Oryctolagus cuniculus: one gene and its partners. The protein of the gene in region 7 purifies or fractionates together with the protein of the main gene of each other region. This does not show direct contact. Links are inferred from orthologs where the notes say so. Each region holds a gene or a part of one and is shown on either strand. Other genes may lie near its edges. The genes, in order: PLAA, TIMM50, MYH10, PKM, CCT5, TUBB4B and HDAC6.

Region 1 (4,198 bases), on a different chromosome or scaffold from region 7:
CTCCTGCCTTCTGGCTCCTGGCTTTGGATGGACACAGTTCTGGCTGTTGCGGCCATCTGGTGAGTGAACCGTGGATGAAAGACCTCTCTGTCTCTCTCTCTCTGTCTCTGCCTATACCTCTCTCTAGTTCTGCCTTTCAAATAAATAAATAAAATCTTTAAAAAAATAAGATTTATTTATTTGAAAATAAAAAATTGTATTGGTTCCAGAGAGGAACTAGACGGATACACATGATAAACCAGTATTGAAATTTGACAGGTAAAGAACGTGACATTCTAGGTTACAATGATAGTACCCACCCTATCCTTGCGTCATCCTTTAAAAAAGTGATTTATTTATTTGAAAGGCAGAGTTACAGAGAGGTAGAGGCAAAAAGAGAAGTCTTTCCAGGCAGATTCACTACCCAAGTGGCTGCAAGGGCTGGAATTGGGCCTACCCAAAGCTAGGAGCTAGGAGCCTCCTCCTGGTCCCCCTAGGTGGGTGCAGGGGCCCAAAGCCTTGGACTATCTCCTAATGCTTTCCCAGGCCACAGCAGAGAGCTGTATGGGAAGAGGAGCAGCCGGGACATGAACCGGTGCAGATATGGGATGCTGGCACTGCAAGCGGAGGCTTTACCACTACGCCACAGTGCCGGCCCCTAGGTTAAGATTTCTAACAGCTGGAAATACAGATCTGAAATTTGGATATGTCATTCTGAGGGATAGAGCTTTAGAAGAAAAGCAAAGTGGTAAATAGTCTCCTCAGGGAGAGGTATTCAGGGCTGTTGGAGAAAGAAAAGGAGGAGTGGTGATTCCAAACCTGAAGTGGGCGTTTCCAGTAGGGAGAAGTCAGAAAAGCGCAAACTGTAATTAATTTATAAGGGTTGTGAAGTGGAACTAGATGCAAGGGGGGAGCAGCTGGAAGTAGAACAGGTCTTGTAAACCCTTGCAGTCATTGTAGACGGATGACGACAAGCAGCATCACCTGGGGTTTGTCAAAACTGCATGAGCTACGTTCGGCCTCAGCCGGACCTACCGAATCAGAATCTGCACTTCAACAAACTACCGGAAGTAGGCGTACTTTCAAAGAGTACAACTGGACTATCTTACTTATTTGCTAACTTTGATGGTAGGGGGCAAAGAGACTAGTAATTTGAAACCAAGGCAAACTATTAAGCGGCCCCAATTTCCTGGTCTCTAGTTTTAATGGGGGGTGGGGAGGGAGGAAAACCGCTTGTTTAAAATGTCAGTAGACTGCAGAGGCGGTTTGAGGAAAATTGGTATGGACGCCGCAAAAGAAGTCAACAAGCAACTCCACCCCGTTGACCCCACAGCGCGCAGCTCCGCGGACCCAGATTTGAAAAATCCAGATTCTGCGCACTGGCTGCTCACGCCCCACTGGCGCGCGGCATTGTGGGACTCGTAGTCCCCGCCTGCTTGCAGAATTACAACAAACAGTTTGGCGGGGACGAGGAAAGGGTCAGAGTTTGGAAAGGACCCGAGGGCGGGGTCAAAACAGCCGGCCGTCCTTACCCCTTCGTCTTAGGGCTGCCTCGAGCGCGAGAGGGGACAGAACCCTAGCTGCCCGCCGGCCTCGGCAGCCCGGACGCACACGCTCTGCGTCATGGCGGGCTGGGGCGGATGATGAATTCCGGTGTGCAAGTGTGGGTTGCTGTGTCACTCGGCCCGCTCGGCGCGCCCCTTCCCCGCCGCCCTTCCGCACCGGCTCTTGGGCTCTTCCGGTCCCCAGGCGCCCCTCACCTGCAGGCTCGTCTCCCGCCGCCGCTTGGAGCACGCCGAGTCTCCGCTGCGGACTGATCTCGCGCGGTGCCCGGGATCCGGGCGCCGGAAAGACCCTGGCCATGGCTAGCGGCGCTGCCAGGTACCGGCTGAGCTGCTCGCTCCCGGGTCATGAGCTGGACGTGCGGGGCCTGGTGTGCTGCCTCTATCCGCCGGGGGCCTTTGTGTCGGTGTCCCGAGACCGCACCACCCGCCTTTGGGCCCCGGACAGGTGAGCGCTGCGAGTGGGGCTGTCGGCCGTCTGTGTTGCAAGCTTCCCGGCGAGTGGGAAGAGTGTCTCTTCCCTGCTGTAGCCTGCTCTTTCCCTCTCTTGCTGGTCTTTCCTCTGCTTCCCGCTCCTTCCCAACCCTCTGAGCCCTGGCTCTCTGGGCACTCCTCGTTAAGATTCTAGCGAGACTGAAGTGGAAGGAACCCCAGGTGGGGGACCGAGATCGGCTTTCTTGTCCTAACTTGAGCACAATCAAATGAGTGACCTTGGACGCGCCTCTTATTATTTATTTTTTTGGTGGTGGTGGGGGGGGAGGGCTTCGGTTTTCGGACGATGATCTCCCAAGTGTCTTCTAGATTTAGAGGTTTACTAATTCCATGTGCATCTTCCTAAGTGAGTAAGTCCAAAAGCATCTGGCATGTCCTCGTTCTCCCCCAGAAGTTGTACTGTAGTCTTCCTTCCGATAGGTTTTGAACACGTCAGTTCTCAAAAATTGCATTGACTCCATCCCTGTTGTCCAGTTTAGAGTTCCTTAGTCGGGGGTCTGTGAGGGTCTTGGGGGCAGGGGGTGAAAACTTCTCAAAAGTTTTATTGCCATATGGGGACGTGCTGTTTTCTTGAGGACAGAGCTTGTACTAACCTGAAAAAGACTTATCAGAGGGGTTCAGGAGGGGAAGAAGGTCGAGAACCAGGTTAACCTCCAGTCCAGACCAAGTTCAAGGGTTTGGCTCTGATTTTAGCTGGTTTTTAGCAGGAAATTTAAAACCAGAACAGAGATTTTTTTTTTGTTCCGGAAAAAGAAAAATTGAGGTTAGTGGTTTTATTATTTGGCAAGTCTGCCATCACTGGAGGTTTCAGGGTTTGGGTGGCCATCCATCAGTCGATTGCTAACTATAGAGTGCCCCCTGTTTATTTTGGATCTTGGAGAGGAAAATGAAGACAAGTTGGCTGTGTTTGTACAGCTGTCTTGCAGTCTGCTGAGGAACAAGGCTTAAAACCCAAGCAAATAAGTAGTTAAGAACTGGCACCTGTATTATGAAGAAAATAAATGGGGTGAAGGAAGGTGTAAAAGAGGGGGCCTCTCTGAAGAGATGTGTGCTTTTGACATTTGAAGCACTGACCACATAGATTAAGCTGGGAGCCTTGGGGAGGAAGAATGAATAGAGTTGAACTGAAAGAGCTAGGCAGAGGCCCTGGCTTGAAAAAGACAAGTCCCTAAGTGGCAGGAGGGAATGAGCTGTGAACTGAGATCAGGCAAGAGCCACATCATGGAGTCTGCAGGTGGGAGCCTTCAAGAACTTAGCAGTGGAGAGCAGCGTGATGTGATTTACCCATTGAGAAGTGTCTGTCAGCTGCTGGTGGAGAAGGGGCACGGAAGTAGATCTTTTCGGAGGCATTTGCAGTATGCTAGACTAGACTAGGTTTTATAAAGCAAGCCTTGTATTGGATGAGTTGACCTCTACAGGTCTCTTCTAACATTGTCAGGACTATCTAAAGGTTGTCTGTTGTAATTTTATCTATCCTGCCATTAAACTTTTACATGTTTTGTAGAATTGTGTTAGGTTGACAAGAGTTTAAGTTGCTGGAGTGCTTGCATTTTCAAGCAACGTTTAGTTGAAATGATCTTCTATTTGAAAACTAATTCTTGTCTTTTAACTCATGTTCTTTTAAAAAAACTTATTCATAGATTTATTCAACTAACACTGATGAAGAGCTTGCATTTTGCCAGGCACAAGGCTAGAAAATGAGTGATAAGACAGATAAAATTACTTAATTTGTTATTTGTAACTGCATAGGTTAAAGGATCTCATAGTCACGGAGTGTTAATCTCTTAGCCATCATGAATAGAATGACCCAGCCACACCATTTATTGTTATAAAAAGTGTCTTCAAGGCCAAGATACTGGCAATTTTTATTTCATAGTATATTTATAAAATTAGAGTACCATACAATATTTGGAGCTAAGTAGTAAATGAAGTTTGTTTGCTCGTATACATTATTGATATGGTTCTGGTTCAGCATATTAAGTGTAGAGAGTAGAATGATGGGGGAGTTTTGTTCTAGGGAGATGGAAATAGTTCTGTTCTAGAGTGGACTAAGTCTTTCACAAAATCCCATTGAAAACCCAGAAAGTCTCTCTGGACCCTCTGAAGTCCCTTCAGAATAGAGACATTAATTTTTGGGTTGTGCACTGACTTGAGACAGCCAACAT
Region 2 (2,247 bases), on a different chromosome or scaffold from region 7:
ACACCGTTGTACGGCTGTAGGCGGAAGGCTTCCTTCTTGCAGTCCACAACCACCACGCGGGCTGGGTCCCGATTCAGACAGGAAATGTCCTGGAAGTGGGTACAAGTCGGGTCAACATCTGTGTCCCCTCCCCACCTAAGGGGCGGGCAGAGGGAGGGATACACACACAGCCCTGACCACACGGGGATCCCCAGGGCCACACACAGGGAGTTGGACTGCAGGTTCCCTGGGGAGGGAGCTGGCCACCTGCCTGATTAACCCGGCCTCAGGTGACTGTGACATCCCCCACCCAGATAAAGATGTGCAGACGAATCTACAGCAGCACACGGAAGCCACCAGAGAGACCCTCCAATCATGGCCACGTACTGTTGAGTCCCCAAGAACACACACCCCTAGACCAACTGAGACACAGACAGAAACGCCCCACCCAGACCCACAGACACTGGATACACTGGTGGCCACGGAGCAGACCTAGGTCACACAAACCCCAAACAGCATCACAGGCTACCGGTCACTCGCAGTTCCAGACACGAACGAAAAACAGCGTCCAAACCTCACGCTCCCCCCCTCGCCCCCATTCCCAGAGTCTATGGACAGGTGAAGGCTTAGAGGCTCTGCCCCGCCTGGAGCAGGCTTGGGCAGCCACCAGGAGGCGGACCTGGGCAGAACCACAGGCAGGGTGGAGGTCAGGCTCAGAGCCGGTCCCTCGTCTCTGACAGGGCCCCTGCACCCAGAGGCCCACCCGCAACCCGCACACAGCACCTTCACATGGTGCCCATCCATGTATCGTGTGGCATCCCGGAACAGGCGGTAGGAGATGAAGCCGTGGGGGTCCACGCTGTCGATGAGCGGGAATGCAGTCTGCAGGGTGGGAGACAGAGGTCAGGTTGGGCCCTGGCCCGGGGCACCCTGCCCCAGCCACACTGGCCGCACAGCCTGGGCCCCAGCCTCACCATGCCGGTCTCTGACGTGAAGATGACGATCTCATACAGAGGGGCGAGCTGCTGGAACAGCGTCTCGATGCCCGGGCGCTTCTTAAACCTCCAGCCTGTGGCCAGCTGGGGAGACAGAGGACGGTGAACTACTGACACTCAGGGGCCCCAGGGGACAAGGACCCAGCTCCTGGGGGTCAGGGCGGGGGCCCAGAACGAGAGCGGACTCCTTCGCGGCCCTACTGTGTGCTGAGGCATGCCAAAGAACCCCCTCAGAGTGGGTAGTGAGGACGGCGAGGCAGGGGGACGTGCCACCTCCTCTCCGAGGTAACACAGGAGGCCCACAGCATCATAACCCACTGCCCAGGGGTAGCCCCCAACCTGCTGCCTTCCCCAGGACACACCGACCACTCAGGGTGCAAGAGGACACCAGTGAGCTCCAGGACGAGCGTGTAGGGCGGCTGGTAGTACGGCTCCCGTAGGGGGTCTGGCAGGAGGCAGGGGCTGGTGGGCTCGATGATCATCTGTGGCACAGGGGCGGGACGGGAGCTCAGCCAAGGAGGCCCGGGCCGGAGGTGCAGGGACGGGGGCTGGGTCCGGAGCCCCTGCTCACCTGTCTGTAGTCCTTGAAATATTTGTAGGTCCGGCGCAACTGCTGTACCAGAATCGGATCTAGGACACCAGGCACAAGGGTTCCGGGATAAGCCGCTGCTCACCCTCCAGACAGAGTGCGTTCACGAGCGGTCTGATCCTGACTCCCTGGTGTGAACTGGCTCAGCCCCGAGCCCAGAGGTGGAAGCAGCGCGCACTGTCAGGTGAGGGTGGAGGTTTCGCCTGGACACTCCCGACCACACGATGCCGGGCCGCCGGGAACACGCACGCAAATCTGCGGACAGCACGCCAGCACACCCGGCCTATTCTGGGCGAGCAGGCGCCGTGTCTGCCCACTTTGAGCCACGGTGCTGAGTCTAAGTACGCCACACAATACATACGGACAATGGGTATTTGAAACCACCGGTTCTCAACTGGCAACGATTTTGCCTCTCCCTTTCCCTGGGAAACCAGGCAACCTCTGGAGACACTTCTGGCTGTCAGACGCTGGCATCCGGTGGGGGGATGCTAGATACCCTCCCCAGCTACACGGGCAGCAAAGCATCATCTGGCCCCGGGGCCACCAGGGCTGAGGGTGCACAATCTGTTCTAAATAAACACGCTGAGTCGTTTGAGAGGCAGAGAGAGAGAGAGAGAGAGAGAGAGAGAGCGAGAGAGCGAGAGAGAGAGAGAGAGAGAGAGGTATCTTCCATCAGCTGGTTCA
Region 3 (3,500 bases), on a different chromosome or scaffold from region 7:
GCTTTCCATTCTGAAGGTCTGGTGACTGGGTTTTTGGTTGCTGGTTTTTTTTTAAGATTTACTTATTTGGCAGGACAGCGACAGATCTTCCATCCACGGGTTCACGCCCCATCTGCCTACAGCAGCAGCCAGGGCTGGAACTCCATCCTGGTCTCCCACGTGGGTGGCAGGGCCCCTAGTACTTGGGTCATCACTTGCTGCCTTCCAGGCGCACTGGCAGGGAGCAGGAGCAGGAGCAGGGCAGCCAGGACCTCAACGGGGTCCCAGTGCGGGCCGCCGCGGCGACCCTGCTCCCGTTCTGCACCCTGAAAGTCCCTAAGTCAGCCCACCTCCAAGAGGAAGCCAGCGGGCTGGCGCTGTGGCCCAGCGGGAAAAGCCATCGCCTGCTCCCTGCCGATGCGCCTGGGAAAGCCGGAGGATGGCCCAAGTGTTTGAGACCCTGAACCGGTGTGGGAGACCCGGAGGAGGCTCCCGGCGTCAGGTCAGCCCAGCTCCAGCTCTTGGGGCCATCTGGGGAGTGAACCAGCAGAGGGAAGACTTTTCTTTGTCTCTCCCTCTCTGCCTTTCAAATAAATAAATCTTTCCTTAAAGGAAAATAAAAAAAAAAAAGGAAATTAAGCTCAGCTCCAAGTTGGAGTGGAGCCATTTAAAGCCCCACACTGTCGGATGGGGGTGGGGGTAGGGCAGATTCACATCAGCTCCGCCTCTGTGGTCCTGTGACATAAAGACCCCCCACCCCAGCGAGCACCTCCGCTCTGTGGCGGTGCAAGAGGGGTCTGCTTCACCCCTTGGAGGCCTGCTGGCTTCCTGACATCACCCCAGAGCACGCCCCTTCCCACAAGGTTGCGGCGTCCGTAGCAGCTCCATTCTGTTTGCCGAGAGCACTGGCTTCTGAGCCTCCAAGGAGGCCACCCCTCGGGTGCGGCAGCCCCCAGGCTACGCCCCAGCAGGGCACCAGGAGACCATGTCCAGTCCAGGCACTGACGGCCAGGCCGTCGCAGTGAGCTCGAGCTGGCCTGTCCCCGACCCCTCCCCTGCGGAGCCAGCACAGCAGGGCTCAAGAGCGACTGCACCTGCGGCCGGCCGGTCTGTGAGGCGATGACCGTGTGCGGCCCGTGAGTGACGTCAGGAGTACCCGATGGCCCTCGGCCAAAGAAAGGTTCTGCAGCCCCGGTGGGCCCCGAGCTTGCCGTCAGGGACTCTGGCTTTCCGTGTCGGGGACGGTGCGCCCTGGCGTCTGAGGGCCCCCTCAGTGAGTCGGCTGCTGGGTTAGTAACCGCTCAGCCTCGGAGCGCAGCTCTGCCGGGCAGCAGCAGGGGGCAGAGCGCTCCGCCGCCAGCCGGCTGCTCTCCTCCGGCCGGGGCCCTCGGTTTAACCAGGCATCGTTCCATGCTCTCCGTCAGGTGCGGGAGCTCGAGGCCGAGCTGGAAGACGAGCGCAAACAGCGGGCGCTCGCTGTTGCTTCCAAGAAGAAAATGGAAATAGACCTGAAGGACCTTGAAGCGCAAATCGAGGCCGCGAACAAAGCCCGGGACGAAGTGGTCAAGCAGCTTCGCAGACTGCAGGTGTGCGGCCGGCGCCAGCCTCGGCGGTGGGTGGGGCGGCGGCCCGCCGAGGTGGCACTCGCGGACCTGCCGTGCCTGCAGCGTGCGTGCGTGCGTGCGTGTGTGTGACAGAGAGAGACTGAGCTGGGGACGGGCTCCGGGTGCCACGTCCTTGCCGGAACGTGCTCTGGTGGCCTGCAGCAGCCCTGCTGTGGTGCTGTCCTCGGCGGCGCTGGGATCCGCAGTGCGCACCCGTCATCGCTGCCCGGGCTGCACACCAGCTCTCACGGCTACAGCCACAAAATGTCAGCTCTGTAGCAGTTCCGGCCTGCGCCCGCACAGCCGCCTCTGGGGGGCAGTCAGCGTCAGTAGTGATCTAGGGGGCAGCTGTCAGGATGTAGCTTAAGAATTTATGCTGGCAAAATGTGAAAATGAGGTTTTTATACAAAGACCTTAGCTGAAATGTTATTTATGATAGCAAAGAGGTGGAAGCTAAGTGGAAAGTGCTGTGGGCTGAGGTGGCGAGGGCCCGAGAACAGCAGCAGGCCGTAAGCCCAGGCAGCACCTGCGCACACGCACAGATGTTCACGCATGTGTGTTTGCACACGCGTGGGTTTTTACAGGGACACGGGCATACCTAGAGAAAATGTTGACGTCCCTCCGGATCCTAGGTCTGAGTGACTTCTCTGCTTCCGTGAGGTCTTCCCCCGGGGCTCTGACTGCGCAGCTTCCGCGCTAGTACTGGACACTGCAGCAGCACTGACTGCCCAGCGCTCTACTGAGTGCAGTCCCCGGTTCACCTGCCTCGCATTCAGGCTTAGGCAGCCGCCACGCCGTCTAATTGTGGACACTTCGTTCCCCCTGCGAGAACCTGTACCCACTCGCTGTCACGCCCGGCCCCGCCTGTCAGCTCCTGTCTGTCTCGGGGTTGGACGTGGCACGTGGGTAGGCCGGCTCCCGTCACGGAGCAGCCTGACACAGCACGAGTAGTTCGTTCCTCTCTACTTCTGAGTAACGTCACACTGCTTGGAGACAGCCACGTGTACTCACTGTTCATCAGGGTGTTCCTTGCTCCCGCTGTCTAGCTGGGACGAGTGGTGCTGCTCTGAGTATCTGTGTGCAGCTGTGTGGACGTGTGCTGTCCACGTGCACGGGGGTGTCACTGGGAGTAGAACTGCTGGGTCTCAGGGTAACAGTAACTTAGTGGGAACTGCCAGACTCCTGCATAGCAGCGCACGTGGGGTCCCGGCAGCCAGGCAGCAGGGTTCACTTCCTCAGATCTCGCGGCACTGCTGTCTGTCCATCACTCACTGTGCCTTTGATGTGCACGTCCCTGATGACTAACCCTGGGCCTCCTAGGTGCCTGTTGGTCAATACTCATTTACGAAAACTGCCTTTGACCCCGACCGGGACTAGAACCCGGGGTGCCGGCGCCGCAGGTGGAGGATTAGCCTAGTGAGCCGCGGCGCCGGCCTCGTTTTATTTCCATCACCCAGTTTGAGCACAGACACGACTTCCTGACTCACAGATGGACTCTGAAGCTTGTGGCCCCCGCTCAGAGCGCCTGCACCCTCGTCAGAACGCACGGGCCATGCTGCAGTGTGTGTGTTTCTGGGCTCTAGCGGCTCCGCGGCTGTGGGTGCCTGTCCCTACACCAGCACCAGTCTTTCTGCGGCTTGGAAATCGGGAAGTGTGACTTAGGTGACTTAGCGCACGCTGTCCCTCTCTTTCCCGTCTCTTTGCTGTTTTCAGTTCCTAGAAATTCACATGAATTTTAGGGTCACTTGTCAGTTCCCTCACACACACACAGCTGACGCGGATTCTGACACTTACTGTGTGGACTCCAGGTCATTTGGGCAGTGTCATCTTAATAAGTCCACTGGCTCAAGACGTTGGGTGTCAGACCTGCCACTGCTTTGTCTTGTTTGTGCCACTGTGACTGCTTCACGTTGCCGT
Region 4 (4,054 bases), on a different chromosome or scaffold from region 7:
ACAGAGAGGAGGCAGGTGTTCAGCCGCTGTTTATTGACACAAGGCAGGCTCCGGACAGCAGGCCTAGGCCTCGCTCGTGGGCTAGGTGGAGGTGGAGGTGGAGTGTTTGTTGGCGGCCACAGCTGAGTGGGGTGGGGAACACAGATGAGCACAACACACAGCGTGGAGTGGGAGGCCCAGGGGGCCAGATCCGCGTCTGCCTCAACTGGACGCGCGGCCTCCCTTGAGGCCCAGCTCTGGCTGGAAGCTCTACACGCGGAGGGCAGGCCTTCCCCCACGTAAGCTAGGGAGGGGCCCTCCGGGCCTGCCCTGCTCCGGGCCTGCGTGAGCCCCGCTAGGGGCGCCGGCTCGGAACAAACACGTTTGGCGGGAGCCGTCTTCCCGGCGTCCCAGCCCACCGGTGCCACACTACAGCCCGAGGGAGCACTACAAGCGTTGCTGGCCTAACAGATGGGTTGGGGGAAGGAACGGGACGGGGCTGGAGGAGCGGCTGCGGGCTGTCACGGCACGGGCACCACGCGCATGGTGTTGGTGAAGCCAGAGCCAGGGCGCCATCCGGTGAGCACAATGACCACATCTCCCTTCTTGAAGAAACCGCGGGCCTTGCCTGCAGGAGAGAAGCTGGTGAGGGACTTCCACCCTCCACAAGGTGGCGCCAGCCTCACAGCGGGGGCAAAGTGGGCAGGGACTTGGACATGACCTAAGACTGCCTAAGGTCAGAGCCAGCTGCTCCTCTCCTCTCCCAACACCCGGGCAGCGGGGCCAACAGCGTGGTGCAGCAGGGTAAGCTGCCACTCCACGCCGGCATCCCCTGTCCAGGCTGCTCCTGCTTCCTACCAACGAGCCAGGGAAGGCATCCTAAGGTGGCCCAAATGCCTTTGCCTCTGCCATCCATGGGGGGGACCCGGATGGAGCTCTGGGCCCGACTCTGGCCTTCTCCTGGCTGTTGCGCCTATTTGAGGACTGAACCAGTGGATGCAAGATCTTTGCCTCCCTCCCTCCCCCTCAGGCACTCTGCCCTTCAAATAAATGACATAAACCTTAACCCCCAGAGCACTGCCACAGAACGAGGCGTTTTACTGTGGCTGCGAGCTATGGCACCCCTCCCCTCCCGGGCGCTGCTCAGGACCGACAAGCAGTGGGATTCGGGGAACATCCCCAGTGGGGACCAGGGGTGCTCAGCTAGGTCTCTTGGCCTCTCTGGTCTTGGGGTTCCCCCCGTTATATTCCCCAGGCTCCAGGGTCCCAGAGAAGCCAGTAGCCAGGTATCCTGCCCCTCAGGTCTCTAGTCTTGCTCCCAGCACGCACCGACATTCATGGCCAAGTTCACCCGGAGGTCGACATCCTCAGCCCAGGCCTCCTGGACCGGATCCTTACACACCACCGGGAAGATCCCACGGTACAGGTGGGCCTGGCGGGCGGTCTGGTGGTTCCGTGTCACGGCAATGATGGGGGCGCGCGGGCGGTACCGGGCCACTTGGTGAGCAGACCTGGGACAGGAGACAAGCAGGACGACCATTAAGCAGTGTCCCTGGAGCCCCCCCCCCCCCGGGCCTTTGGCAATAGCTCACCCCCTAATCCAACTCACTACGCCAGCCTGAAGCTCTGGCCACTTCCACACCTGTTCTCTGGTGCCTCTGAGGGCAGGGAGCCGCCCCATCTCATCCACTGACCCCACGTGGCCAGGGCTGGCAGCTGCCTTGCCACACCCTGAACTTTTCCACTATGGCAGAGGGAGTCCTGCTCCCTCCACCCGGCAGCCCTAGTGCAGGGCCTCGTCTTGGGGCCGGCAGAAGCACAGCGGAGCAGTGTGTGGCCCACAGCCTGACTGCAGAGCCGCAGCACAGCTGCCAGACCCTGGGCCCAGCAACACACGGACCCTCCACTGCCGGGCTCGTCCACCCAAGCGGCCCCAGCAACTGGGCTCCAGATCTCAGACAAACTTGAAGATCCGGAGGCATCTTAAGAATTCCCAAAGGGCCAGTGCTGTGGCATAGCAGGTGAAGCCGCCACATACAGTGCCGGCATCCCATAAGGGTGCTGCCTGAGTCCCGGCTGCTCTACTTCCGATCCAGCTCTCTGCTGTGGCCTGGGGAAGCAGTGGAAGATGCCCCAAGTCCTTGGGCCCCTGCACCCACGTGGGAGACCCAGAAGCTCCTGGCTTTGAACTGGCACAGCTCTGGCCATTGTGGCCAATTGGGGAGTGAACCAGCCGATGGAAGACCTCTCTCTCTCTGCTTCTCTTTCTCTGTGTAACTCTTTCAAATAAATAAATAAATCTTAAAAAAAAAAAATTCCCGGGGGGGCCAGCATTGTGGCTTAGGGACATGGGCACCCCACACGGGCACGGCTTCAGCCTGGCCCAGCCCTGGCCGCTGCAGCCATTTGGGGCGTGAACCGGGGAAGACCTGTCTCCCTTTCTCCAACTCTGCCTTTCAAATAAGTAAAAAAGATTTTTTAACCAAAGATTAACTCCTAAGATTGTGTAGATTCAGGTAAGGGCTTCGTGACGAGAGAAAGGTGGGCATGGGGGCAGCTCCGCCTGTCAGGGGTCCCTGGAGGTGGGGACTCTGCTGAGCCCTGTGCCAGGGGCCCTGCAGGAGCTGGGGAGGGGCCCGCGAAGGAGCAGGCCCCGGGAGCAAGCTGCGAAGACAGAACAGGTGCCAGGAACAGGCTTGGCCTTCAGGGGAGGCAGCTGCTGGGGTCAGAGCTGTGAAATCTCAGAAGACTGCCGCTAAGAATAGTGCAGAGCTAAGCCGGCCGTTCTACAAAGGTCAGCCCGAAAGCCCAAGAGTGGGCGTCGCAGACCTCTCCTGGTCGCACACGGCAGCCCAGCTGCGGCCCCTCCTCCCCACCCGCTGTCTCCCAGGGCCGCAGGGGAGGGAGGGTAACTCAGGCCAAGTCCAACCCCGGCACCACAGCCCCACAAAATGAGGGGAAAGGGGGGGTGACCTTCCTGGGCCCAGAACCCACTGGTGTGTCTGGAAGAGATGGGAACAGCATTCAGATTTTCCAGACTAAGTTTGCAAAGAGGTCCTAAGAACCAGAAAAGGCAACTCTGCTTCTGTTTCCAAGGAGCAGCTTTTAAAGAACAAGTATGTGTCGTCAGCCCTACCCCTTACGGCTCCGCTCACTGCTGGTCCTGGCCCGGGGGCCTGGGAGCATCCTTCCCTGCCAGGGTGCAGGTGGTGGGCAGAGGGGCTTACCTTGGCTCAGCACCATCTGCGCACTGCGCCAGGACCGCTCCCAGGCCCCTCCTGCAGGGGTGTCCCGCAGCAGGGCACCGCCAGGCGCTCGCTGGCGCCTCCTACCTGCCAGACTTGGTCAGCACGATTATGGCCCCACTGCAGCACTTGAAGGAGGCCTCCACGGCACCCACGGCGGCGGCTTCTGTGGGGTCGCTGGTAATGGGCGCCAGGCGGCGGAGCTCCTCAAATAATTGCAAGTGGTAGATGGCAGCCTCTGCCTCACGGGCAATCTAGGGGAGCAACATCCGTCCAGGGGGACGAGAGGGGACAGAGCTTCGTCAGAGCTTTGTCAGAGAGGGGAGGGGATGAGTCTACAGACAGCGGGTGGGGGACACGGCCCAGCAAGGCCAACACGAGCCTGAGGGCTGCAGCCCGGGAGCAGCAGAGCCAGACTCCCCGGGGGCGTTCCTCCACCGGCTGCCCGAGACGCCGCTGCCTACCGAGGCAGAGCCTCCGGTCCTGCCCTGTCCTGACCACCCTGGCTGTCTTCCTGCAGCTGAGCAGAGGCTCTGGGCCCAGGCCGCGCATCCTGGAGCAGCTGGCGCAAGAGGCAGGGTCCCCTGCAGCGTTACCTGGCCTCGGGCCCTACCTGCCAGACTCCGTCAGAACTATCAAAGCTGCCGCTAAACACTTATAGGAAGCCTCCACGCTGCCCATGGCCATGGCCTCCATGAGGTCTGTGGAGTGACTGGAGGCTCGCGCAAGTTCTTCGAACAGCTTGCGGTGGAACATGGCTGCCTCAGCCTCGCGAGCTATCTGTAAGGGTTAGGGGAGAGGGCAAGGAAGAGAGGAGGAGGAGGAGACAG
Region 5 (4,139 bases), on a different chromosome or scaffold from region 7:
GATGCCTGGGAAAGCAGTGGAGGATGGCCCAAATCCTTGGGTCCTTGCACCCACATGGGAGAAGCTCCTGGCTCCTAATCAGCTCAGCTCCGGCCATCTGGGAAGGAACCAGCAGGTGGAAGACCCCTCTCTCTCTGTTTCTACCTCTAATTCTTCAAATAAATAAAATAAATCTTAAAAACAAAAAAATACCCTTCCTCCACTCTGCTGAAATTCCAAGTTATAATTACGGACCAAAGTTGGCAACCTCTTAAGGAGGGCGAATAGCTGTATCAGAGTGATTTGTTTTCCTCACCACCCCTAGCTACTACACTGAGTACAAGACATAAATATTTTAGAGAGAGAGAGTAAGAGGCAGAAAACAAAGGTGGTGAGGGATTTGGCAGACAGGAAGACACCTCGTCCAGCTGCTCAGGAAAGTGGAAGAAACGCTCTTCCACCCACTTGCAGCTCCGCGGAGTCTACACACCCACACTGCAGACCCAACAGGACCCCGCCAGCGCGACTGCAAACTCAGCTGCTTTCATCTGGGTTACTCAGGTTCAGAGCCCAAGTCCCAGGTACTACTGCGTTAAGATAGAACACACTGCCATTTTTAACTGAAAAAGTCTCAATAAAGCACAGATTTCGTTTCAGGATCTAAATGACAAGGGGGAAAAAGTGCTTATAGCCTTCACCCATGAGAATGTTCAAGTCTTGGTTTATGTCATTTCTCTTCCTGATGCCTTCAATTCTTCACATATTTTGGTCCCACTTCTCTGCAGGAGAGCCAGGAACAAGTCCATGACCCCAACACAGAGCCTGGTACTCAACCACACCAATCCAGGCAGTGCTGTGAACAGGCCTCGGGACTGACGTCTACACTCTGAGGAGAACGTGCCGCTCACTGCACCTTGTGTGCAGGTTCAGTCATTCCCAGAGTAGAGCAGTCCTGGGTGGTGGTGGTGGGGGGTGTTAGTCACCGCCAACAGTCTTCCTGGCAGAGCATCCTGCCCCTCCACTCCGCCTGGGAAAGACCCTTCCCCGTTTCCACAGGTAACTGGTCTGCGCTTCCTTTCTCTCCCTCCTTGCCATCATCAGCCTAACCAGACCCAAAGCAACCACAGAATCCCAGGACCACTGAACCCACCTCCCCTAAAATTCCCCACAACCAGGCAACCAATCCGCCGGCTAACTACGCTCAAATGCTCTGCTCACGACTTCCAAGGCTTCCACGATCCCTAGTGTCTCAGCACTCGAGTTCAAAGCGCTCCAGGATCGAGACCTAGCTGCCGCCCCTCACACACAGCAACTCCCCAAGGCGGCTCGGTGGTCATCCACCTGGCAGGTTACAGAAGACATAAAAGGTCCAACTGCGAAAACACAATTACGCCTTAAATACATGCCGAGTTACAGGTCAGTGTAACGAGAAACCTAAATAACACTCTAGGGAAGTGGTGGTGGCGGGAATTCTTTCCCAGGACAACTTCTGGTTGGTACAACTGGGCAGGGGGAACCTCGGCACAGTGGACAGAGGCCAAGTGCTTAACATCTACACGGGCCAGGGCCCCGAATGGGCAGTGATCTGGCCCCAGGCGTCAGCGAAGCCGCGCTGAGAAAGCAGCTCTAGACCGCGGCCCCGAATCACGGTCCAGCTACCCAGTCGTATGCGACCCTGCAGCATCCTGCGAACACCCGTCTCAGTTTACGGCGGTACCACACAACAAGCTGTCGCTTAATTATGCTTTACGTGTGGTGCGTGTACTGGAGCTTTCTCCGTGGATCCCTAGAACTCAACAATGGAATAAATCTGTAATACCAGCAGCCTGAGCCCTATTCCCTGGAAGGGAAACAAACAGCCCCGAGTCCCCGGCTCGGCAGAGACGACCCGCCCTGGGAGTGAGGCTGCGAGTCCGTGGGGGAACCGTGCTGCTTCCGGATCCAAGCACAACCCCGAGCCCCCAAGGGAGCTCAGGGCGGACCCCGGGCTGCTCAAGTCCTCCGCGCCCTCCGCGCCCCCCAGCCTCTGCACCCTGTCAATCATGAGTTCAGCTGGCCCTCCTCCCTCTTCCCTCCGCCCACCCCAGCCTCGGCGGGGAAGCCCTTTTCCGTCGGGGTGGCGTCCCGGGCTGGCAGCTTCGGGAACCGCTGCGACCTCAAGTCGGCTGGGCCCCGCTGGGACCCCCTGTTTACGCCTGGCCGCCCCCGTACCCACTCGTCACACGCGCCCATCTCCCACTCCCGCTACGGCTGCGCTCTCCTTTGAAGGATCTCGTGTTTTTACGAGCGCGCACCCAGGACTGGGCCACGCACAGAGGCACACGCTGTCAACGACCACGGCCTCGCGAAAGCAGGGCGAACCCCGTTTCTCAGGGGCTGCCGCGGGGTTCAGCGCGGGGCGGCCCTAACGGCGCTCGCGGGCCGCCGGACCCAACATTCGGAGAGCGAGATGCGCCCAGGGTGAGGCGATTCTCGACCTTTCGGGGAGCACATGGCGAAAACCGCGGCCCACCCTGCGCAGGCGCAGAGCCCCGGACGCGGCCGCCTCCCCTTAGCCCGCCACGAGCGTCTTCGGGCCCCTTACCTTGAGAGCTTCAAGTCCCATAAGACGAGACTTGCGGTCCTGATCCTTGATAATGAGGAAAGGGCGCCCATATTCATCGAAGGCGAGGGTCCCCACGGACGCCATGGTTCAGCAGCAGGAGTTACTTTCCTGCAACCGGCAGAGACCACGCCGGAACCCAGAACACACCTTCCTCTCGCGAGAGAGCGCAGCAGCTCGCGCATGCGCAATGCGGACAGCGCGAGACTTATTTTTCAACTGAAACTAATTTGACGCCAGACAGTACCTTCTGGAATCGGCGGCCTTTGGAAACTTCTATTATCCGGGAAGCTGTAGGGGGGGGAGGAGCTGAAGACTTTTAGAACTCACAGGTCAAGAGTAGGAATAATTGAATCATTACCTAAAGATTTATAATTGATATCTTCTTCGTAGTGAGTTACAACGAAAAATTATTTTCTTAAAGCATTGTTTTACACTTCTTCTCACCCCGGCTCTGAGAAGATGGTAGCTTCCACATCCCCCCCGCCTTTTTTTTTAAGAGTGCGGAAATCTCGCGATGGAAGGAGGAGGAGGTGAGGCCGGAGCGGCGTGCGCGGGAGGGCGCGCGGGCCTGGCGCTGTGGGGCCGTCGGTGTCGTCTGAGCGCGGGAGCGGGCCGCGGGCGCCCCCGGCCCCAGGCGGCCGTCCTGCCCCTCGGCGCGCTGCGCCAGCCCGGGCCCCGTTCTCGGGTCTGCGGCCTGTCCGCCAGGACGCTTCTGGGCGCCTTTGGGCGGATGACTGCCGTTAGCTCGGCCCTCGGGGTGGCATGGCGGTGTCGCAGGCCCACGGCGCGGGCCGTGCTGGGGAAGTCGCTGGACCTCCGCGCGCCGGTGTCCTCGTGTGACATGGCCGTGAGAATGCCAGCGTGTGCCCTCCAGGGCTGCTGTGAGGGCGCAGAGCGCGCAGTGCCCGGCCCCGAGCCAGCCTCGTACGCGGGCGCCGCTGTGGCTTAGTGGGCTAGGGCCCCGTCTGGGCTCCACTTCGGGTCCGGCTCCCTGCTAATGGCCAAGTCCATGGGCGTCTGCACCCGCGGGGGAGACCTGGAAGAAGCTCCTGGCGTCAGCCCGACCCAGCCCTGGCCCTTGGCAACCATCTGGGGTGTCAATCAACGGGGTGGAAGATCTCTGTCTCGTCTCTCTTTGAAATAAAAAAAAAAATTTAAAAAACAGTAAACCCTGATTTCCCACAGCGGGTCCCATTCTTGAGCCCTGTGCAGGGCCGCCTCACAACCCCGCCCGACACCCCCCTGCCCTGATTCCCTTTGCTGCCTTTACTTCAGGGTCCACGGCCCTGGCTGCCTTCTCCACGCCAGCCAGGCTGTGCCCAGTAAACGAGGACCGGGCGCGCACCGTGAGGCTGAACTCTGGCTGGGGAGTCCAGAACGGACCCTCACAGTCGGCCCACCCTCCGCAACTGGAGTGGTGCTCCCCGGACATTTTAGATCCTGGAGCCTCCGTTCCTTCTTGCTTGGCGGATTCAGTGTTTGCGCGCTCAGAATGGTGAATTCCGCCAGCCATTTGGTTCATTAGGTTGTTGCGGAAAACCGGAAATGCTTAATG
Region 6 (4,161 bases), on a different chromosome or scaffold from region 7:
CTGGGCTGACTGCGTGCCCCCCCAGGCTACGCTGGCTTCGTCCCGCGCTTCGCCTGGGTGATGGGGATGAATTACCGTGACGGGGTGACACAGGCCTTGGACGAGTTCGACAAGACGCAGGTACAACCGCCCCAAGGCTGCTCCCTGTGGCCCGGCTTGCGGAGGCTGGGGGGGGCTCTGCCTGCCTGACGGGCGCCAGCACCCACCTGCCCCCCCCAGTTTCTGTTCAGAAACCCGGGCTGTGCCCTGGGCCAAAGGCTGCCCAGCGCCCACTGGTCCAGCAGCACCATCTACAACAGCCAAGGCATGATCCCTTTCTACATGGGGTTCATCCCCTGTGAGTACCAGCCCTGCCCGCCCTCCCGCACCCCAGGGGCAGGGCGGGGCCCGCAGCCGGCCCAGCTCAGCCGCGCCTCCCCCGCAGCCATGCAGGACAACTACGCCATGACCTTTGGCAACAGCACCCGCAGGGCCTACCAGAAGGAAGTGCAGAGGCGGAGCCAGGCACTATGAAACGCTTTAATGGTGGTGTGCGGACAGGAAGGGGGCAGGTGCACGCAGACGGCCCTGCCAGGGGCGCTGAGCCAATAAAGAGTTCACACCGCGAGCGCGCGCTGGCGACCGGCCCTAGGCCACCTCCTCCTCCGCCTCCTCCTCGAACTCGCCCTCCTCCTCGGCCGTGGCGTCCTGGTACTGCTGGTACTCGGACACCAGGTCGTTCATGTTGCTCTCGGCCTCGGTGAACTCCATCTCGTCCATGCCCTCGCCCGTGTACCAGTGCAGGAAGGCCTTGCGCCGGAACATGGCCGTGAACTGCTCCGAGATGCGCTTGAACAGCTCCTGGATGGCCGTGCTGTTGCCGATGAAGGTGGCCGACATCTTGAGGCCGCGCGGCGGGATGTCGCACACGGCCGTCTTGACGTTGTTGGGGATCCACTCGACGAAGTAGCTGCTGTTCTTGTTCTGCACGTTCAGCATCTGCTCGTCCACCTCCTTCATGGACATGCGGCCGCGGAACACGGCGGCCACCGTCAGGTAGCGGCCGTGGCGCGGGTCGCAGGCGGCCATCATGTTCTTGGCGTCGAACATCTGCTGGGTGAGCTCGGGCACGGTGAGCGCGCGGTACTGCTGGCTGCCGCGGCTGGTGAGGGGCGCGAAGCCGGGCATGAAGAAGTGCAGGCGGGGGAAGGGCACCATGTTCACGGCCAGCTTGCGCAGGTCGGCGTTGAGCTGGCCGGGGAAGCGCAGGCAGGTGGTGACCCCGCTCATGGTGGCCGACACCAGGTGGTTGAGGTCGCCGTAGGTGGGCGTGGTGAGCTTGAGCGTGCGGAAGCAGATGTCGTAGAGGGCCTCGTTGTCGATGCAGTAGGTCTCGTCCGTGTTCTCCACCAGCTGGTGCACGGACAGCGTGGCGTTGTAGGGCTCCACCACCGTGTCCGACACCTTGGGCGAGGGCACCACGCTGAAGGTGTTCATGATGCGGTCGGGGTACTCCTCGCGGATCTTGCTGATGAGCAGGGTGCCCATGCCCGAGCCCGTGCCGCCGCCCAGCGAGTGGGTCAGCTGGAAGCCCTGCAGGCAGTCACAGCTCTCCGCCTCCTTCCTCACCACGTCCAGCACCGAGTCCACCAGCTCGGCCCCCTCCGTGTAGTGGCCCTTGGCCCAGTTGTTCCCGGCCCCACTCTGGCCTGCAGGAGGACAAGTGGTCACTCTGGGGCCAGGCACGTGGTCACCGGCACAGCCGCCAGCCCTGCTCAAGTCCAACCCGGGGCGGGGGAGGACCGTGCGGGAGCAGCCCCGCCCCTGCGGCTCCCGGGCCTCCCTCCCAAAGCCGCTTCAGGCGGCACCAGGCGGCTCCGGGCCGTGACCTTGGGCGGCCCCCACCGCTCACCGAACACGAAGTTGTCGGGTCTGAAGATCTGCCCGAAGGGCCCCGAGCGCACGGAGTCCATGGTGCCGGGCTCCAGGTCCACGAGCACGGCGCGGGGCACGTACTTGCCGCCTGCGGGGACAGCGGGGCGTCAGCGCGCGGGCGGCCGCGGCGCCGCGGGCGGGGGGCGCGGGGGCGGCCGGGGGCTCACCGGTGGCCTCGTTGTAGTACACGTTGATGCGCTCCAGCTGCAGGTCGCTGTCCCCGTGGTAGGTGCCCGTCGGGTCGATGCCATGCTCGTCGCTGATCACCTCCCAAAACTGCAAGGCACGGGCGCGCCCGGGCGGGCGTGCGGCTGAGTCACCGCAGCCGGTGCGCCCGGGGCGGCCCCGCCCCGGATGGGCGCGGCGGGCCCTCCCCTCCCCCACCCGGGCCCGCGCGCCCGCGGCCACCGGCGCTCGGGCCCGCAGCTCCGCCCGCCCCCGCCGGCAGCCGGCGCCCGGGCTCGGGCCCCGGCGGCCCCGGTCGCGGTCCGCGCTGCGCTTCCGGGAGCCGCAATGCGGGAACGCCGCCCGCCCAGCCGCTGCCGCCATTTTTCCCAGCCGCCCGCCCCGCCCGGCAACGCCGCGCCGGGCCCGCGGCGCCGCGAATGCCCACCTTTGCGCCGATCTGGTTGCCGCACTGCCCGGCCTGCAGGTGCACGATCTCCCTCATGGCGACGGCGGCGACGGCACAAGCAGCAAGACCGACAAGAACACGGAGGAGCGGGCGCGCAGAGTGCTACAACCGTCGCTCCGCCGACGCTTATATACCCCCTGCACCCGCCTCCGCCAGCCTCGGATTGGGCCGCCAGAACGAGGCTGCAGAGCGGCCTCGTCTGACTGGCCGAGCTTCTGTCAATAGAGCTGCTTAAGGCCCACCTTCCCAACGATGTCCGCTCTTTATTGGTCAGACGCGGGCCCCTGCTTCCCTATCACAATCCGCCCCGCCTCGCGCTGCAGTGCTCTGTCCATTGGGTGTTTCAAATGATTGATTTGCCCTCTCATTGGCGGACGCCCGGGAGCACGCCGACAGGCCGGCGCTATTGGCCGTCCTGGGTCAGCGTCCTGGTAACCGCCGCAGTGCAGCGGGAGACGCGCGCGGGCGGGGCGTTAGGGAGCGCGGGCGCGGGCGCGGGCTTCCGGCCGGGCCTCCTGCGACAGCTCAGGCCTCGGCGGGGCCGCGCGAGCCCGTGGTCCGGGGCCAGCCCGCGCGCCTCCTCCGGGGCGCACGCCGCGGTGCACACGCTGGCGCGCGGGCCCGCACGGCCGTGGCGAGCCCCGCGGGTCTCCGCGCAGAGCCCCGTCCCCCCGGTGCCGCAGTGGCCGCGTCCAGGGGCGGGGTCTGGACCGCCGCCCCCGCCGCGCGCTGTGTTGTGGAGACCGCACTGGCCGTGCGCCGGTCGCCCGGGGCGCAGGGCTGCATGGACACGGGGTGGGCTCTCCTGCCCTGCGCACCAGCTTCCGGCTTGACTTGTGTTGAAAGACGGTTGCGCACACGGCTGCACCTTGGCGCACATTCGCGTTGTGTTTTGGTAACGTCTCTAAGGGTGATCCGCGCGCTCCGGGCTGCGCTGGACGCGGTCACCGCCGTGGGCGCGGGGCCCATCCGGGTCCTGTTCTCCCGGCGTCGGTCGGGGGGCAGCACTTGCTTGTTCCTAGCGGGGGGCGCCCCGAGGGGGCGTTCTCCGTGCTGCGGGGACCGTGAGTCGGCAGCTCCACTGTGCCCAGAGCAGCCCGCAAGGCTGGCCCGGCTCCTGCTGCCCACGCTGACACGGCCCGGTCCCTGGGGTCTGGAGCCTGCCTGCCTGGGCGCGTGCGCAGTGCGGGCGTCCTCCAGGGTGGCTCCGCTGCCCATGCAGTCCACAGGCAGGCCCTCACGCACGGGGAAGCTCAGGTCTCTGGCCCTCGTCCAACTTGTCAGCGCCTCCCCAGCCCAGCCACACTTGGGGTGACCGGAGACCCCCTCCCTGCTGCTGTGACCAGCGCGCAGGGGCTGCGAGGTCAGTGTGGCAGCCCCCGTCTTGCAGGTGACGCAGGCCACGCGCACGTCGGCCTCTCAATACAGCAGCAGCTCTGCACCGGGCGGGGGGAGAGGCCCTGCAGGTACCCCCCACCTCCGGGCCTGGAGTCGGTGGCCAGGCAGGCGCCGGCCCTCCTGCAGGTGCCCACGTGGGAGGCCGCCTTTGCCAGTGGTCATGTCCCAGCGGAGGATGCATTACCCTCAGCCAGGGGCAGCAGCCAGACAGTCGC
Region 7 (3,500 bases):
CCCGAGACACCCCAGCGTATCTTGCGTATCATGTGCCATCTGGAGGAGTTGGGCCTTGCTGGACGCTGCCTCAACCTACCAGCACGACCTGCCACTGATGCTGAGCTGCTCACTTGCCACAGGTCACATCTTTGGGCCCAGGGTTGGAACTGTGACTGTGGCCATGATTGGGACTCAGGGGTGGGAGCTTAGGGTTACCCTCACCTGTGTGGGAGCTGCTGCTGGACTGAGAAGGGTCCAAGTTCTGGTCTGGGAGCAGGCCCCAGGGAGGAAACAGAGCCACCTCACTGTCCACTGGCTGCCCCTCTTTGTGCCCCCAGTGCTGAGTATGTGGAGCGTATCCGGGCCACGCAGAAGATGAAGACCCGGGAACTACATCGCGAGGGTGCCAACTTTGACTCAATCTACATCTGCCCCAGCACCTTCACCTGTGCACAGCTTGCCACTGGCACCGTCTGCCGCCTGGTGGAGGCTGTGCTGGAAGGAGAGGTGCGGCCTCTGGCCTGCCATGTGGGGCTACCCACGATGGCTCGGAGATAGTTGGACCAGGCCTGAGAAAAGGGGCTGTGGGGAGGGGTCATTGCTCGCTAAGAGGGCCACCTAGAGGGTGGGGGTTCCCTCACAGTTGGGTGAAGTAGTGAAAGGAAGTGTAGTGAAGAAAGGGGAAGGTAAGTAAGAGAGCAACCTTTCTCCCCACACTCCCCCAGGTTTTGAATGGCGTTGCCCTGGTACGCCCCCCAGGACACCATGCTGAGCAGGATGCCGCTTGTGGTTTCTGCTTTTTCAACTCTGTGGCAGTGGCTGCTCGCCATGCCCAGGCCATCAGTGGACGTGCCCTGCGGTAAGACATTCTGATTCTTGGGACCTGGATGTCCCCCAGCCCAAAGTATAATCAACAAGCTCCATGTACAGCTCCCAGGACTTACTTGGAAATAAGCAGGGGTCAACTGCTCAGCACTTATCCAAAAAAGGACAACAAAGGAGGCTGGTCAGTGCCTACCCAGCTCAGACCTCCAGATTGGGGCACCTGGGCGCTTTAAACCAGGTCTCAGGTCCCACCCTAGCATTTATGGTCCTCAAAGGCCATCCCAACAGAACCCAGGTTGAGGCTCCAATGCTTCCTCTTGAAGACATGGGGTCCACTTAGCTTCTCAGCGCCCAGCCCTGAGAGCTTACTTAGGCCCAGAGTGCAGCCCTCAGACCTAGCCCTCATCCTTACACCAATAGGACCCAAAAGCCAGATGCTCGGTGCTTTCTCAAGAGACACAAGATCCCGTTCCTTAGCACCAAATGTCCCTGCAGACCCTAGGGGTCTATACCCAGCATTTACCCATGGGGTGAATGTCCTGGGATACTGAGGAGCTGTCCCCTTCCTAGGGTCCTGATTGTGGATTGGGACATCCATCATGGTAATGGGACTCAGCACATTTTTGAGGATGACCCCAGGTGAGGTACTGGGGCTGGGGGCAGGAGTGTGGTCAGGGAGGTGGGCGAACCATGCCTCATTGGGGGCTAGGGGACCCCTAACCATGGCCCTCTCTCTGCCCTATCCCTGGCAGTGTGCTCTACATATCCCTGCACCGCTATGATCAGGGCACCTTCTTCCCCGTGGGGGATGAGGGTGCCTGCAGCCAGATGGGCCGGGCTGCGGGCACAGGTTTCACTGTCAACGTGGCCTGGAATGGGTCCCGCATAGGGGATGCTGACTACCTGATGGCCTGGCATCGTCTGGTGCTTCCCATTGCATACGAGGTATGGCTCAGGATGTGTGTGACGCACCTGTGCAGATGGTAGCACGTGGCTACCTTCTTGGGAGTATATGTATGTGTCTGACTGATCACGTCACGAGACTGATTATATGAGACAGCCTGTGGGTGGCTACAGGGATGGCTTTCAGGGGATGGGGGTTGACTGTGACAGCCTTACATGCCTGTCTGCACAAGTGGCTTGTGGGTGAGTGCCTTCTCTGTGTAACATTGTATGCGTGGGCTTCTGTGTGAGGACTTTCTGGATGTGTGGCAGTGGCCTGTGTGGATGTGTCTGCCATCATGAATGCCTGTCTGGTGTGAGGGTGACCATGGGTCACACTGTCTCTGGAATTGTGTATGCAAGGAAGGGCAGGGATTTGAGCATGTATGCATACCCCTCTGTGCAGGTGGCTATCTGTCACCACCTTTTTTCTGCATGCTGAGTGCGATATGTCATTGGTTGCTGCTCTCTCTGTGACAGCCTGTATGGAACTCTCTGGATGTTGAAGGCTGTGTGGGACATCTATCTTTGTGTCTGTCTGTTAGTCCAGGCTTTTTGCATGTGCCTCTGATAGGGGAATGTGGCCTGGCTGTGGCTGCCTTCTCTGTGTGAACTGGGATGACTGTGGTGCTTACGTGATTAACCCTGCAAAGCTGGGCGTGGGTGTGCACCTTTAGATCTGTGTGTGTGACTATTCATGGGTGGCCAGAGCCACCTTCTGTGTGTGTGCAACTGTGTGTACAGGTGACTGCCTCCCGTGGACGCAACAGCACATGAGACCATTGTGACCGTGGACCATTTTCACTTCTGAGGAACTTTGCGTGACCAGTGTGAATGAATGATCCTGGCATTCACAGGACTGTCTCTGTGAGAGTATGTGTGGCTGCATGTCATCATCTTGTCCTGTGTGTGGCACTTCCACTGTCCACACAAGTGTGTGTGTGTACCTCTATTTGGCACCGTGTGTATAAAATCCTGTGTCTTGCACCTGTGTGTCCCATGTTTGACCCTGGAGTGCATGTGGATGGAGATATGTGTCTGTCTCTCCATTTCTCATGTCACCATCTCTTGACATCTGAGTCTCCATGTATCATGTCTCTGTATTTCATGACTCTGCCTCATGTCCCTGTCTGTCCATTTTAGTGTTATCATGTCTTTAAGTTCATGTCTGGTGTGTCCACATCTCTAGCAAACTGCATTGTGTCTCTGCTTCTCCTGTCTCTAATTCTCTATCTCCTGTGTTTCCCTGCCTTCCCCTTCCTGGTTGTCAGGTCCCTGTTCTTGCATCTCCCAGCCCCTGTCTCCATTACTTGAGTTGCATCTCCATGTCTTCATCTTTCCTTATCTCCCACATCTTTGGGTCTCCACGTCTCTAAGTCTCATCACTAACTGCCTACCAAAGCCAACCCCTGAATGAGCACACGTCTCTTCTCTCCCTACTCAGTTTAACCCAGAACTGGTACTGGTCTCAGCGGGCTTTGATGCTGCACGAGGAGACCCACTGGGGGGCTGCCAGGTGTCACCTGAGGGTTATGCCCACCTCACCCACCTGTTGATGGGCCTTGCTGGTGGCCGCATTATCCTTATCCTAGAGGTAAATCGCTTTTGGTCCCTGTCCCCATGGTGGGAGGGTACTTTGGAAGAGTTGGCTGCATCACTTGGGGCAGTTTTCCAAAGATCCCCTTTGAGTGTCCCCACATAGGATTGTTGGCACATACTAGGCACTAAAAAGAACACCACCCACATTAACA

What was found.
Region 1: the proteins of HDAC6 (region 7) and PLAA purify together in Homo sapiens (affinity purification with mass spectrometry; 4 studies listed by BioGRID and IntAct, with this or other methods). This does not show direct contact. The link is inferred for Oryctolagus cuniculus from reciprocal best matches to the Homo sapiens genes HDAC6 and PLAA.
Region 2: the proteins of HDAC6 (region 7) and TIMM50 purify together in Homo sapiens (affinity purification with mass spectrometry; 3 studies listed by BioGRID and IntAct, counting the BioPlex papers as one, with this or other methods). This does not show direct contact. The link is inferred for Oryctolagus cuniculus from reciprocal best matches to the Homo sapiens genes HDAC6 and TIMM50.
Region 3: the proteins of HDAC6 (region 7) and MYH10 purify together in Homo sapiens (affinity purification with mass spectrometry; 3 studies listed by BioGRID, with this or other methods). This does not show direct contact. The link is inferred for Oryctolagus cuniculus from reciprocal best matches to the Homo sapiens genes HDAC6 and MYH10.
Region 4: the proteins of HDAC6 (region 7) and PKM purify together in Homo sapiens (affinity purification with mass spectrometry, with the first as the bait; 4 studies listed by BioGRID). This does not show direct contact. The link is inferred for Oryctolagus cuniculus from reciprocal best matches to the Homo sapiens genes HDAC6 and PKM.
Region 5: the proteins of HDAC6 (region 7) and CCT5 purify together in Homo sapiens (affinity purification with mass spectrometry, with the first as the bait; 3 studies listed by BioGRID). This does not show direct contact. The link is inferred for Oryctolagus cuniculus from reciprocal best matches to the Homo sapiens genes HDAC6 and CCT5.
Region 6: the proteins of HDAC6 (region 7) and TUBB4B purify together in Homo sapiens (affinity purification with mass spectrometry, with the first as the bait; 4 studies listed by BioGRID). This does not show direct contact. The link is inferred for Oryctolagus cuniculus from reciprocal best matches to the Homo sapiens genes HDAC6 and TUBB4B.

The regions. Positions count from the first base shown.
Region 1 is NC_091432.1:190,206,583-190,210,780, reverse strand, and holds the start of PLAA (phospholipase A-2-activating protein), read left to right. Parts: upstream 1-1,398; 5' UTR 1,399-1,840; coding exon 1,841-1,989; intron 1,990-4,198. UniProt on the Homo sapiens protein: Plays a role in protein ubiquitination, sorting and degradation through its association with VCP. Involved in ubiquitin-mediated membrane proteins trafficking to late endosomes in an ESCRT-dependent manner, and hence plays a role in synaptic vesicle recycling.
Region 2 is NC_091449.1:15,487,221-15,489,467, forward strand, and holds part of TIMM50 (mitochondrial import inner membrane translocase subunit TIM50), read right to left. Parts: intron 1,605-2,247; coding exon 1,546-1,604; intron 1,457-1,545; coding exon 1,337-1,456; intron 1,059-1,336; coding exon 954-1,058; intron 862-953; coding exon 763-861; intron 90-762; coding exon 1-89. UniProt on the Homo sapiens protein: Essential component of the TIM23 complex, a complex that mediates the translocation of transit peptide-containing proteins across the mitochondrial inner membrane. Has some phosphatase activity in vitro; however such activity may not be relevant in vivo.
Region 3 is NC_091448.1:52,931,114-52,934,613, reverse strand, and holds part of MYH10 (myosin-10), read left to right. Parts: intron 1-1,403; coding exon 1,404-1,565; intron 1,566-3,500. UniProt on the Homo sapiens protein: Cellular myosin that appears to play a role in cytokinesis, cell shape, and specialized functions such as secretion and capping. Involved with LARP6 in the stabilization of type I collagen mRNAs for CO1A1 and CO1A2.
Region 4 is NC_091443.1:110,896,947-110,901,000, reverse strand, and holds the end of PKM (pyruvate kinase PKM), read right to left. Parts: intron 4,005-4,054; coding exon of another isoform or gene 3,838-4,004; exon of another isoform or gene 3,479-3,837; coding exon 3,312-3,478; intron 1,491-3,311; coding exon 1,309-1,490; intron 608-1,308; coding exon 501-607; downstream 1-500. UniProt on the Homo sapiens protein: Catalyzes the final rate-limiting step of glycolysis by mediating the transfer of a phosphoryl group from phosphoenolpyruvate (PEP) to ADP, generating ATP.
Region 5 is NC_091445.1:39,635,724-39,639,862, reverse strand, and holds the start of CCT5 (T-complex protein 1 subunit epsilon), read right to left. Parts: upstream 2,801-4,139; 5' UTR 2,669-2,800; coding exon 2,564-2,668; exon of another isoform or gene 2,543-2,563; intron 2,481-2,542; exon of another isoform or gene 2,212-2,480; coding exon of another isoform or gene 2,191-2,211; intron 2,086-2,190; exon of another isoform or gene 2,062-2,085; intron 1-2,061. Other genes in the region: ATPSCKMT (ATP synthase subunit C lysine N-methyltransferase), read left to right, coding at 3,099-3,114. UniProt on the Homo sapiens protein: Component of the chaperonin-containing T-complex (TRiC), a molecular chaperone complex that assists the folding of actin, tubulin and other proteins upon ATP hydrolysis.
Region 6 is NC_091432.1:237,515,660-237,519,820, reverse strand, and holds TUBB4B (tubulin beta-4B chain), read right to left. Parts: upstream 2,749-4,161; 5' UTR 2,585-2,748; coding exon 2,528-2,584; intron 2,191-2,527; coding exon 2,082-2,190; intron 2,003-2,081; coding exon 1,892-2,002; intron 1,689-1,891; coding exon 628-1,688; 3' UTR 514-627; downstream 1-513. Other genes in the region: CIMIP2A (ciliary microtubule inner protein 2A), read left to right, coding at 26-120, 220-337, 425-513. UniProt on the Homo sapiens protein: Tubulin is the major constituent of microtubules, a cylinder consisting of laterally associated linear protofilaments composed of alpha- and beta-tubulin heterodimers.
Region 7 is NC_091453.1:34,001,268-34,004,767, forward strand, and holds part of HDAC6 (histone deacetylase 6), read left to right. Parts: coding exon 1-122; intron 123-320; coding exon 321-489; intron 490-707; coding exon 708-841; intron 842-1,377; coding exon 1,378-1,446; intron 1,447-1,559; coding exon 1,560-1,752; intron 1,753-3,193; coding exon 3,194-3,343; intron 3,344-3,500.